Callithrix jacchus: one gene and its partners. The protein of the gene in region 1 binds, or shares a complex with, the protein of each later gene. Links are inferred from orthologs where the notes say so. Each region holds a gene or a part of one and is shown on either strand. Other genes may lie near its edges.

What was found. The genes of interacting proteins can lie anywhere in the genome.
Region 2: PIGH (region 1) and PIGY share a complex: the UniProt entries of both Homo sapiens proteins name them as parts of the glycosylphosphatidylinositol-N-acetylglucosaminyltransferase (GPI-GnT) complex. The link is inferred for Callithrix jacchus from reciprocal best matches to the Homo sapiens genes PIGH and PIGY.
Region 3: PIGH (region 1) and PIGC share a complex: the UniProt entries of both Homo sapiens proteins name them as parts of the glycosylphosphatidylinositol-N-acetylglucosaminyltransferase (GPI-GnT) complex. The link is inferred for Callithrix jacchus from reciprocal best matches to the Homo sapiens genes PIGH and PIGC.

What each region holds. Positions count from the first base shown.
Region 1 is NC_133509.1:102,593,116-102,597,278, forward strand, and holds the start of PIGH (phosphatidylinositol N-acetylglucosaminyltransferase subunit H), read right to left. Parts: upstream 2,801-4,163; 5' UTR 2,716-2,800; coding exon 2,536-2,715; intron 1-2,535. UniProt on the Homo sapiens protein: Part of the glycosylphosphatidylinositol-N-acetylglucosaminyltransferase (GPI-GnT) complex that catalyzes the transfer of N-acetylglucosamine from UDP-N-acetylglucosamine to phosphatidylinositol and participates in the first step of GPI biosynthesis.
Region 2 is NC_133504.1:109,148,143-109,150,686, reverse strand, and holds PIGY (phosphatidylinositol N-acetylglucosaminyltransferase subunit Y), read right to left. Parts: upstream 1,063-2,544; 5' UTR 965-1,062; coding exon 749-964; 3' UTR 501-748; downstream 1-500. Other genes in the region: PYURF (protein preY, mitochondrial), read right to left, coding at 1,063-1,209. UniProt on the Homo sapiens protein: Part of the glycosylphosphatidylinositol-N-acetylglucosaminyltransferase (GPI-GnT) complex that catalyzes the transfer of N-acetylglucosamine from UDP-N-acetylglucosamine to phosphatidylinositol and participates in the first step of GPI biosynthesis.
Region 3 is NC_133519.1:30,306,165-30,310,190, reverse strand, and holds PIGC (phosphatidylinositol N-acetylglucosaminyltransferase subunit C), read right to left. Parts: upstream 2,801-4,026; 5' UTR 2,692-2,800; exon of another isoform or gene 2,383-2,691; intron 1,581-2,382; 5' UTR 1,343-1,580; coding exon 449-1,342; 3' UTR 106-448; downstream 1-105. UniProt on the Homo sapiens protein: Part of the glycosylphosphatidylinositol-N-acetylglucosaminyltransferase (GPI-GnT) complex that catalyzes the transfer of N-acetylglucosamine from UDP-N-acetylglucosamine to phosphatidylinositol and participates in the first step of GPI biosynthesis.

The sequences.
Region 1 (4,163 bases):
GCTATGTGTTGATTGATGAATGGAGGATTCAGTACTGGTTCTCTGATGATCCAAAAAGATCTAATTTTGCAATTAAGATTAATTGCACTGAATAAGCATTATGAAGAATGGAGAGGAATACAATTCAGCCCTAACCCTTACAGATTTATTAAAGGCAAGATTAATACATAGAAAATATTCTGGAGGATACTCTGATACTGACTACAAGTACCAAAGGAAAAGTTTTTTTTTTTTTTTAAATAAAAAAGAAAGAAAAAGATATAAAAACACACAAGAATATATCCCATCACATCCAAGGAAATAGGATTTTAATTGGTGCAGGGGAGGTGGTGGTTAGTGGCCAATCTAATTAGTTGAAAGGGAAGGGAGAAGAACATTCCAGGGTGGAATAAACAAGGGAACAACCTGGAACTTTAATAGAACTGTGAACTCAAAAACATGAAGGGATTAAGGACAGTAAATCCTTAGGGATTTGATCCACGTCAGTTTTCCAGTGAAAGCAATCCATGCCTAAAACTTCATTACTACCTGCATTTTTTTACTTCATTTTTCTGTATAGAATTCAAACAATTCAATATTCATTTGAGTTGGTATTAAGCTGTATGTTTGAATGAATTCCTTCAATCAGATTTCTTCTCATTCCAGATATGCACTACTCTCATAAAGTTTTGAATAGGAAAGGTAAGAAATTTTGGCACACAGAGCCCTTAGGAAGTGTTGCAGTAGAGTTTAAAGGAAGATGAGGTCACTAAATCCCGGGCATTTGATAGGGGTGAGCAGAGTACACCAGGATAAGAGACATAAGTACAGAGGGGACCTGGCATAAAAGCAGGCTTTTGTTTTTAAATTTTGCCTAAGATCAGCTATACAATGGTATAAAGGAAAAAAAAGGGTCTTGGAGTCAAAGAGCCCTGGGTTTGAAGCCCAGATCTGCCATTTACTGCTTTGAGACTTTTGGTAATCATTATTCTTTGTAAGCCTTGGTTTTCTTCATTCTAGGCTGAAGTAAAGAATTTAGTAAAGCATCCGGCACTCAGTGGGCATTTAATAAATATCTATTTCCTCCTCCTCCTCCTCACATGACCACATACATAGGCTATAACAACTCAGGCTAGTACTAAAATTCAACTATACTATATTTTAAATGTTGGGGGTGCTGTCAAATCAATTTAATCATCATTTTAACTGACTTATGAACAAATTTTTTTTTTTTTTTGAGACAGAGTCTTCCTCTGTCGCCAAGGCTGGAGTGTAGTGGCACGATCTTCGCTCACTGTTACCTCTGCCTCCTGGGTTCAAGTGATTCTCCTGCCTCGGTCTCCCAAGTATCTGGGACTACAGGCATGCGCCACCACACCCAGCTAATTTTTGTATTTTACAAATACAAAATACATGGTGATAAAAATACAAATACATAGTGAGACACGGTTTCACCATGTTGGCCAGGCTGGTTTTGAACTCCTGACCTCAAGTGATCCACCTGCTTCAGCCTCCCAAAGTGCTAGATTACAGGCATGAGCTACTGCACCCTGACTGAACAGACTTTTAGATAGTTTACTACAATTAGGGCAGTCTTAATTCTGCATATTTCTATGCTAAATTACCATACTGTGAAATATGCTTTGACAGCAAAAAAAAGCTAATGGATGCAGTAATGGAAACAATATCCAAGTTACAGAAATAAATAGCCCTGCTGTACTTAACTCCGATCAGATCACTTCAGGGATAATACATCCAACTCAGGCACTACATATGAAACTAGAACTCAGCCTGAAAAGGCAATTAGGATAATTCTTTTTATTTGAGAACTGTTATAAAGTTACTGCATTTAACCCTCACAATATCATGAAGCTGGTATGGCAGGCATTAATTCTATTTTAGAGATGTAGAAAATTGAGGCTCAGAGAAAACAGGAATGAATCTGGAAATTGAGCACAGATACCACACACATCCAAAATTTCAAAATCCTTTAGAAAGTACTTAAAATTGGGGGAGAGTTTGGGAGGAGGGAGGGTTAAACTGTATTGAAAAACAGATTAGGAAGAACGATAACACTATATTTATACACACAGCTACACAAGTGTACACTGTGGAGGCAAAGACAGTTTGTGGAAAACTACATAAGGTATTGTTAGCAGCACTGCCTTTGAGGAGCAGAAGTGATAGACGAGGAAGACCCACTTACTTCCCTGAACTCTTGGAATTAAATTACTACGCGCCTATATTACATAGAACACGTGGAAATTAAAGTTTTAGACCATCGTGCAAGAACTAGATGTATGCTGGGTGAACCCACCGAGCAGAGCACAGACACAGAGGGGAAATGTACTTTCCAGGAGCACACATTCACCAAACATCATTTAAAGAGCTGTCCAGCATCGGAGTGGCGTCCCCAAAACCCGTGAGTTCCCGCCCTCTGGTCCTACCACTGTAGGAGGGGCCAACCAGAGATCTGGGCTCGATCAAAGACCCCAGAGACTCTCCCAAAGCCGAACCCCCTCCTCCGAGAGAGCGGAGGGGCCGACCAGCCATTACCTCGCAGAGGCTGAAGAGTCCGTAGGCCGCCAGCCACACCGTGCAGGTGACAGCCGTAAGCGAACGCAGCGAGAGCCGAGGGCAGCTGAGGCAGAACTCCCGGCAGGACGGGGAGTAGTAGCGGCGCTGCAGGGCCAGGCGGCCGCCGCAGATATCCGAAAAGCTCCGCTCATCCTCCATGACTGGCTTGCCCCTACTAGGCGGCCCGCACTGCACCGCGTTCTTCTGCTCTCCCAGCCTCGCCAGCTCCAGACCCGCTTCCGGCAGTCGCGTCACCACGCCCCGCCCCTAAGCCCGCGCAGCCTCAGTTGCGCGCCAAGAGCCCTCCTGGGGTCTGAGTCTGAGAAAGGGAATGGTCAGACCCATCTCTTGAATGGTGAGTCATGTGTTTTAACAACGTTTCTTGTTCACCAGATACACTTCATTAAAAAGCGAAGTGGGGCCGGGCGCGGTGGCTCACGCCTGTAATACCAGCACTTTGGGAGGCCGAGGCGGGTGGATCACGAGGTCAAGAGATCGAGACCATCCTGGTCAACATGGTGAAACCCCCGTCTCTACTAAAAATACAAAAAAAATAGCTGGGCATGGTGGCGCATGCCTGTAATCCCAGCTACTCAGGAGGCTGAGGCGGGAGAATTGCCTGAACCCAGGAGGCGGAAGTTACAGTGAGCCAAGATCGTGCCATTGCACTCCAGCCTGGGTAACAAGAGCGAAACTCCGTCTCAAAAAAAAAAAAAAAAAAAAAAGCGAAGTGACAGTCAGAAAAGTGAAGTGACTTAGCCAAGGTCATACAACTTGGAAGCAGCAGATCAGGAAGAAAAATCCAGGTCACCTGCTAGGTAGGCTAGTCTTCCGTCCAAGGGCATACTAGACCCAGGTCAACTCAGCCATGTGGGGCTGCCAGATGTTTCTGCATGTGGATAAAGAGAAACAGGCCAAGGGCTACGAGGGGGCAGAATAAGCTAGAAACTCCCAGAACTTTGGTCCTAGAAGGGCCCTTAAGAATTATCCAGGCTGGGCATGGGGGCTCATGTCTGTAATTCCGGCATTTTGGGAGACTGAGGTGGGCAGATCACCTGAGGCCAGGAGTTCAAGACCAACCTGGCCAACATGACAAAACCCCTTCTCCACTAAAAGCTCGGCCTTGGCCCAGCTTCTGTAATTGTCTTCGTACAAAGTTTGTTGGGGGCAACAATTCAGTGGACAGATTAAAACGCTTTTAGGCCAGGCGCGTTGGCTCACACTTCCAGTGCTTTGGGAGGCCAAGGCGGGAGGATCGCTGGAGCCTGGGAGGTCGAGGTTGCAGCGAGCCGAGATCATGCCACTGCTCTCCAGCCTGGGTGACAGAGCGAGACCCTGTCTCGAAACAAACCCGTAGTTTGTTTTTGTTTTTGTTTTGAGACGGAGTGGAGCAAATTTAGCTCACTGCAACATCTGTTCCCTGGGTTCAAGCAATTCTCCGGCCTCAGCCTCTGAGTAGCTAGAATTACAGGCACCCACCACCACATCTGGCTGATTTTTGTATTTTTAATAGAGATGGGTTTTCACCATGTTGGCCAGGGTGGTCTCGAACTCCTGACCTCAGGTGATCTGCCCACCTCGGCCTCCCAAAGTGCTGGGTTTACAGG
Region 2 (2,544 bases), on another chromosome or scaffold:
GCTCAAAAGGGTACAAACTACTACTTGCAAGTCTTCGACCCCTCACTTTCCTGGGAAATGATTCTAGAGAGGAAGTACCTCTCTAAACACAGCCTATGTTTAGTGCAGTTTTACAACTTCCCTTTGTATCAATCACACTTCTGTGACCAAACAAATGACTACTGCAAACTGGTTTATTTCATCTTTTATGGTAAAGTGTCAACATCTTTATTGCTAATATAAGCAGTTAATGTCAAAGAAATGAAGGTAATTTTACAAACTTAATTTCTGTTAAGTACCTGAAATTTCTATTTGATGATATGGTTTTATATCACACTTGTTCAAATGCATTTGTCTCCCTTAGAGAGAGTATTTCAACATCACTCCTTTAGAATTATTTCAGTCATTCCTAACATGTGACTTTACCAAAGACCTTAAACTTAACAAACAAGCAAAACAAAATTTCAATAACTTTTAGATGAACAGAATAAGAAATACTCATGACATGACAATTGGGGATGTTCATCTCCAACAAGACACTGTCAAAATGTTTTCTCTGATACAGCAGTTATAAGTCAGAGCCTGCAAAACACAAGGGCAGAGCAAGAGTACAACAAAAGAAGCATCTGCAACTTAAGTCTCCCACAGTCCTAAGCCTGATATACACAAAGCAAAGCCTCTTTCCTGCAAACTTCCATCCAGTTGAGCTTTCAGAGATAGATGCCCAAGAGCTATTATTAATAAATATAGCATATTGACACTAGTTACATCAATTATGCCTGAAGAGTTTAATACCCATCCAAGTCCAAAGGTGGAAGAATACATACACTGGTATGGAAATAGGCAAGAGCAAACTGTAAAAGCAAAGGCTGGCTGTGCTAGTGCAGCCCTGTGGGAAGTTTTCTTCCACAGAGGCCGAGTAGAACAGTCCTGCTAAAGAAACCAGTGGAATAAGAACAGTCAACGTAGGAAGAGACATAAACATTCTTCTCTTCCAATTATTACCCTCCACTATGTTTTAAAAGGTATACGGTATTAAGAAAAGTCAGCTGTTGGGTTTTTTTTATTTTTTTTAATTATGAACTAGCGCTGCTCCAGTTCTTCTTGCTTCTTACTTTGATGCGTCATCCTAGCTGCCTGCGGTATCATATTAGGAATCCCATCAATGATTGGATAAGCTATTCCCAATTCTTCATTAATCAATTCATTTGTTGATGCTTCATATCTGAGGTTGAAAAAAAAAAAGAACAAAATGAATTGTGAAAAATAAAATGCTTGAAGAGCCTGATTTTCAACAAATACCACCATTTATCCAATTCTCGGTATAGAGTTAGTTAATCCCAGAGTAGTCTTCTTCAATTCTAAAAGCAACAATAGCCAATTCAACCTTTTATCTTAAAAAAAATTCTCTTAGAATCTATAATTATTCCCATTTTAGTCGGTTTCTCTCATATTCTCTTTTTCGCCTTATTCACAAGTTATTCCTTAATTTCGTTTTTATAGTAGTCAGAAAAGATCCCCCTCTTACCCAAATATTCCTTCACTACTTCGGTCAACCCTCAAACCATCTCTGTAAATTTACTACTGGAACAAACACTAGAGAAAAATCAACTTCTTCATTTTAGAATAAATGCTAAATAGAGAAACTTAACTAATCCATTAGAAGGAAATAACTGGAAAAGGTGAGAGGGCAGAAATGAGAAAACACTGGAAAGCAGTGAGTCTGCGGTGAGCTAGTTATAAAGGCAAATCAAGTAATTTCAAGGTTTGAGAAAATTGAATAATATTATGGGAAAAAAAGAAATATGAAAAAACTGCTAGCAATCTACCATTCAAAGATAGTCCCTGATAACATTTTGGTGTTTAGTTTATGCGATTTGTAATACTAGTGTTAATGTTGTTGATATTCAATTCTGGTAGCTTGGAAACTGTAGAGCTGTTTTCCCAAAAACTAGGTTAAAGAGGTTTCTACGAAACCTGCTAGTCCACAACTAAGAGCCACTGGGCAGCACACACAGGTGAAATGCTTAAGATTGTCAGGCACCAGTTGTACACGACACCTTCACAAGAATCTGGAGGGTACAACAATACTTTTCATCATCTTGGCTTAAAAACCAGAAGGCTTTGGCCTTGTCCTGAATCGCAGTGGTTCATAAACCTGGTTATACCTTAGAAATCATTTCGGGGTCGTTTAAGAACACACAAATAAGCTGGGAGTGGGGGCGGCGCCTGTATCCCCCAGCTCCTTAGGAGGCTGAAGCCGGAGTTCTAGGCCAGCCTGGGCAACGTAAGGAGCACCCTGTCTCTTAACAGGAAAAAAGAAAAAAAAAAAAATACAAATGTTCAGGTCTCATCCCTCGGACATTCCGAGTCTGCTGGTCTTGGGGGCTGTCGGGGAATCGGCATTTTTAAAACGGTCCCCGGGTGATTGCATTGCGCAGCCGGTGGCGAACCTAAAACGCTTCAAGCCATTCCCGTAGTCTGGCGATGTGGTCGGGCAGATGTGGGACGCGGCTCCCCTGGCCTCCGGTCTCCCGGTCCTGCGGGGCCAGAGTCCAGAAAATG
Region 3 (4,026 bases), on another chromosome or scaffold:
GAAGTGACTTTACGTACACACACACATATACACACACATTCTCTCTTTACTCTTCATGCTCTTCTGTCTGCCTACTATTTATGGAAAAATCATGAGACAACTTGATGAATGTGTTATTTTTTTTAATAGAAACCACATCACTTCATATGTTACAGTATGTAATTCAAGAGACCCCCAGAAAGTTTTTTCATCCACAAAATAATAGAAAGGATGAGCTCCCTTACCACCCAGGGAGTTTTGAAATAAGACCTCCCTGGAAATTCCATGCTGCGGTTGATGTTCTACCTACTTTTCCTTGTTTTCAGTCTTTGGTTCATTTTTTTGTTTTGATCTCTATTCTCTTACCACAATGACATGCTGCTTCCAGAATGGAACTCTGTCTTCAAGTTTTATACTAGTTAAGAGGCCAGTCTGTCAGCTTGCCTTAATATGTAATGGATGTCCTAATTTAGCTGAGGAACCTGGACAAGTCTTCCTTGATTTCAGCTTCATCCCAAGGCCCATGAATGTTTTCTTTAAAAAGCTGCAAGCGAATGAGGTAGAATGGACAGAGACATGAGATAGATACCAGCAGAAGGGCAAAGAGTATGGCTCCCACAGCACTAATGGACAGTAGGCCTCCCAAGGCTGAAAACGCAAACATCAGTGTGACCCCCACATAGCTCCGGGGAGTACATGCCTTTAGTTTCTTCTGTAACATGGGCCATAGGGCAAAGATCTGAATGGCAAATGTCACCATGATGAAGGCATGCAGGGAGCGGGGAAGGCGTGATGCCAAGCATACAGAAGCAAAGATGGCCATGTTCAAGGACAGTGTGCTGGATACAATGGCAGCATTGGCACCATAGTCAAAAAAAATGAGATGGCCTAACAGCATGAAGACTGACATGGCATAGATGGTGTCAGTGCTGACAGACTCTGTCAGGGTCTTTAGCACTGGTGAAAACCCATAAGTGAAAGTAATGAAGACTAGGGCACTCTTCAGGTCAGCCCACCGTGTCTGCCCACTCTTCCTTCGCCCTTCACCTCCATCAATGAGATCAAACAAAACATACCCAATCAGTGAAGAAGCCAGGCCAGCCCCAAAAAGCCAATGGGGGGCCAAAAGACCCTCATCCATATACCACCAGATAACTACAAAAACACAAACACTGCACAGCTGTTGGATCACCACACTGGACTCAAATACCACAGCCCAATATTGGTATTTCCGAGCGTGGATGTTTTTCCGAAGCTCTTCCAGGAACCGCCGGTCCACATAGTTATCTGGAAAGGGCTGTCGCTCATACAAGATCTTCTGCCACTTGACCTCCTTGGTGTTAGTTACAGGTTGGGCACACATTATCCTTTCATTCAAACTCAGGCCAGTTTAATCACTGCCCTCACAGAAGTCCGGGTGGTTCCTGTTCTCTATGAAGTTTTGAAATGAGACCTCCCTGGAAATTCCACGCTGTGGTTGATGTTCTACTGAACTTTCCTTGTTTTCAAAGGCAGCAACCCAGGCTAGGCCTACAACAGATGAGTTTGTCTCTGAAGCAGGACAACACAGCCAGGTTCCTAGAAAAAGAGAGACTGTGAACCTATGAAAGTTGTGAAAGGTCAAGGGTAGTACTGAGTTAAAGCCAAATCATTCAGTTTACTAAAAGTCTGAGCAAAATGTATTTGGTAGTCACCTTATCAATTTGGGATATTAAAACTGCATTTCAGATTTGAAAATTGTAATTCCTTGAATAATAATATGCATCTGTTAGCTATCACTTATTGAGTGCCTACTATGTGCTAAGTGCCTTATGTATCTTCTTTCACTTAATCCTCACAACCTTGCAAGTTAGTATTAGTCCTGCTTTAGTAAAAAAGCTGAGATTCAAAATGCTTAAGTAACTTTGCCGTAAGGTAACAGGGCGGAGCCAGCGTTCAAACCAGTCTTATCCCAAAGCCTGTGTCTCACATTGTATTTCCCTCTAAACCAGTTCATAACTCTCTGGTTCACATACCCCTCAGGTATATCACATTGCATGCTTATATCTGCATTTGTGTAAATTTATAGGGAAAATATCCATAGCTTTTATTGGTTCTCAAAGGCATGTTGTTTATATTTTTTAAGTTACCGATCCAAAGACAATAAATAGTAAGCTGCACTATACAGAAAGATACGAGTGCTGCAGTTTATTTAGCCAAAATCAAAGACTCAAAGAAACTACACTTTTCTTCCATTAGCTGAGCTTAGCATACTTTAAAGAGCTATCATTCTACTCAAAACGGCGAAACTCTTGCGAGGATCGAAGAAGATAATCATCCCTTTTTCACAATGGGAAAACTAAGAGTCAGCAACACCACAGCCATCTGGCAAATCAGAGGAAAATAATTTCATAAATGCCCGACCTAACTTCTTCCATGAAGACAAGTGCTGCTTGGCAAGTCAGACACCATTATTCCTCTCTCCGCTGCGGGGATCCCAGCCCAGGAATTTCAAGGCTATCGCCGGGGTTGGAGGGTCTGCGGCGCCCAAAAGGGCAGCGCCCGCCGGCAAAGTGGAGTTGGGAGGGGACAGGATAGGATAGGGTGACCCCAGGGGCGTGCCATCACTCTCCAGGTCTCCCACTCCCGCCGCCGCCCCTCACCCAGCCTTAGGCCTGCGGGGGACAGCAGAGGAGAAGGAGCCCCGGAAACACACGATTACGTGGAACCCACCTGCCCGAGAATTCCTGGGGATGCGCAGCTGCGGGGCGGCGGCCCTCAGACTTTTTCCCCCTCCGGTGTGCCGGGGCTGCGACTGTGGCCGAGTACTTCCGGGTCCTCCGCTATCTCCTCCGCGAGGGTGCCCTTCCCCAGCTTGAGCCACCGCGCCGAGGCTGCTGCCCTCTCCTGGCTGCTCAGAGACCGCCAGGCTCCCCTCCTGAAGATAGGCCTAAACCCGAACGCTCTAAACTTAGGAAAGCAAATCCCCAACAATCCCCTACAGCAAAACGGGATGTGCCATCTGAAGGGCTGGGTAAAGCAGGAGAGGGACAGGAAAAGAGGCTGGGCCAGTAGGTGAGAGATAATGGCCACTTCCGTTGCGCTCCTTTTATTAAGTCAGGCCCTCAGCTAGGGACTTCCCTGCATGCCTTCATTCCACAGATACTGGCTGAATGCGTGCAGGTAGCAAGCCCTGTTTGTGATGCTCACGATGCAGCCCTGAACTAAACACAAAAACTGCTGCTCTCATGAAACTCTCTTTTTTGTGCATTGATCTTTACACTGATTATATCATCTCCCCTCTCAAAGAGGACAAATCTAAGGCTTAGATAAATTGTATTTGTCCAAAGACAGGCACCTGGGAAGTAGATGAACAGAGATCAATATCCAGTTGTCTATAGCTTCGAAGCTTGGTTTTTCTCCTCTTTACCTCCTAAGAGGGGTGAGGAGAAGACTGCTAATTCAAGTGAGTTCATGGAAATATTAAAGGATGTATGAACAGATGGAGGTAATAAAGAAACAAAGGGATGTAGTAAAACACAGGTTACACTGGAAACGAAAGTTAGAAAACATGACCCATTTACTAGCTCCATGACTGAGGTCAAATCACACTATCTGACCTTTGATTTCTTCATCAGTAAAATGGAGATGACACTATTTGCACTTGGTTGCTTTATGGGATGGCTAAAGAGTTAAATATAAAATATAAAAATGTTTTGTAAAGTGTTTACTATATGGTTCCTGTTAGCTGACTTTGGCCATCATAATGAGAGCAATGCTCAAGAGTGATACATTCTGTAAACATGATCTCTATTTCCCTCTAGGCTTCTGTTCAAAAATTTGACAAGATTCCTTGGCTTAGTGAGGCCAGCCTTGTAAACAAGCCATTAGTGCTCAGCCTCCCCAGAAGGTAACCTCTCAGCCACTGAAGGCAAAAGTTTTATGAAACGTCTACAGAAGATGATTTCGTCTTACGGGATGGGGACAGTTATCAGAGGGCACATTTGATCCATTGGGAAACCCAAGTCAAGTGCTTTAAAAGTAGAAATATTCTGGGTTTCTCAGATG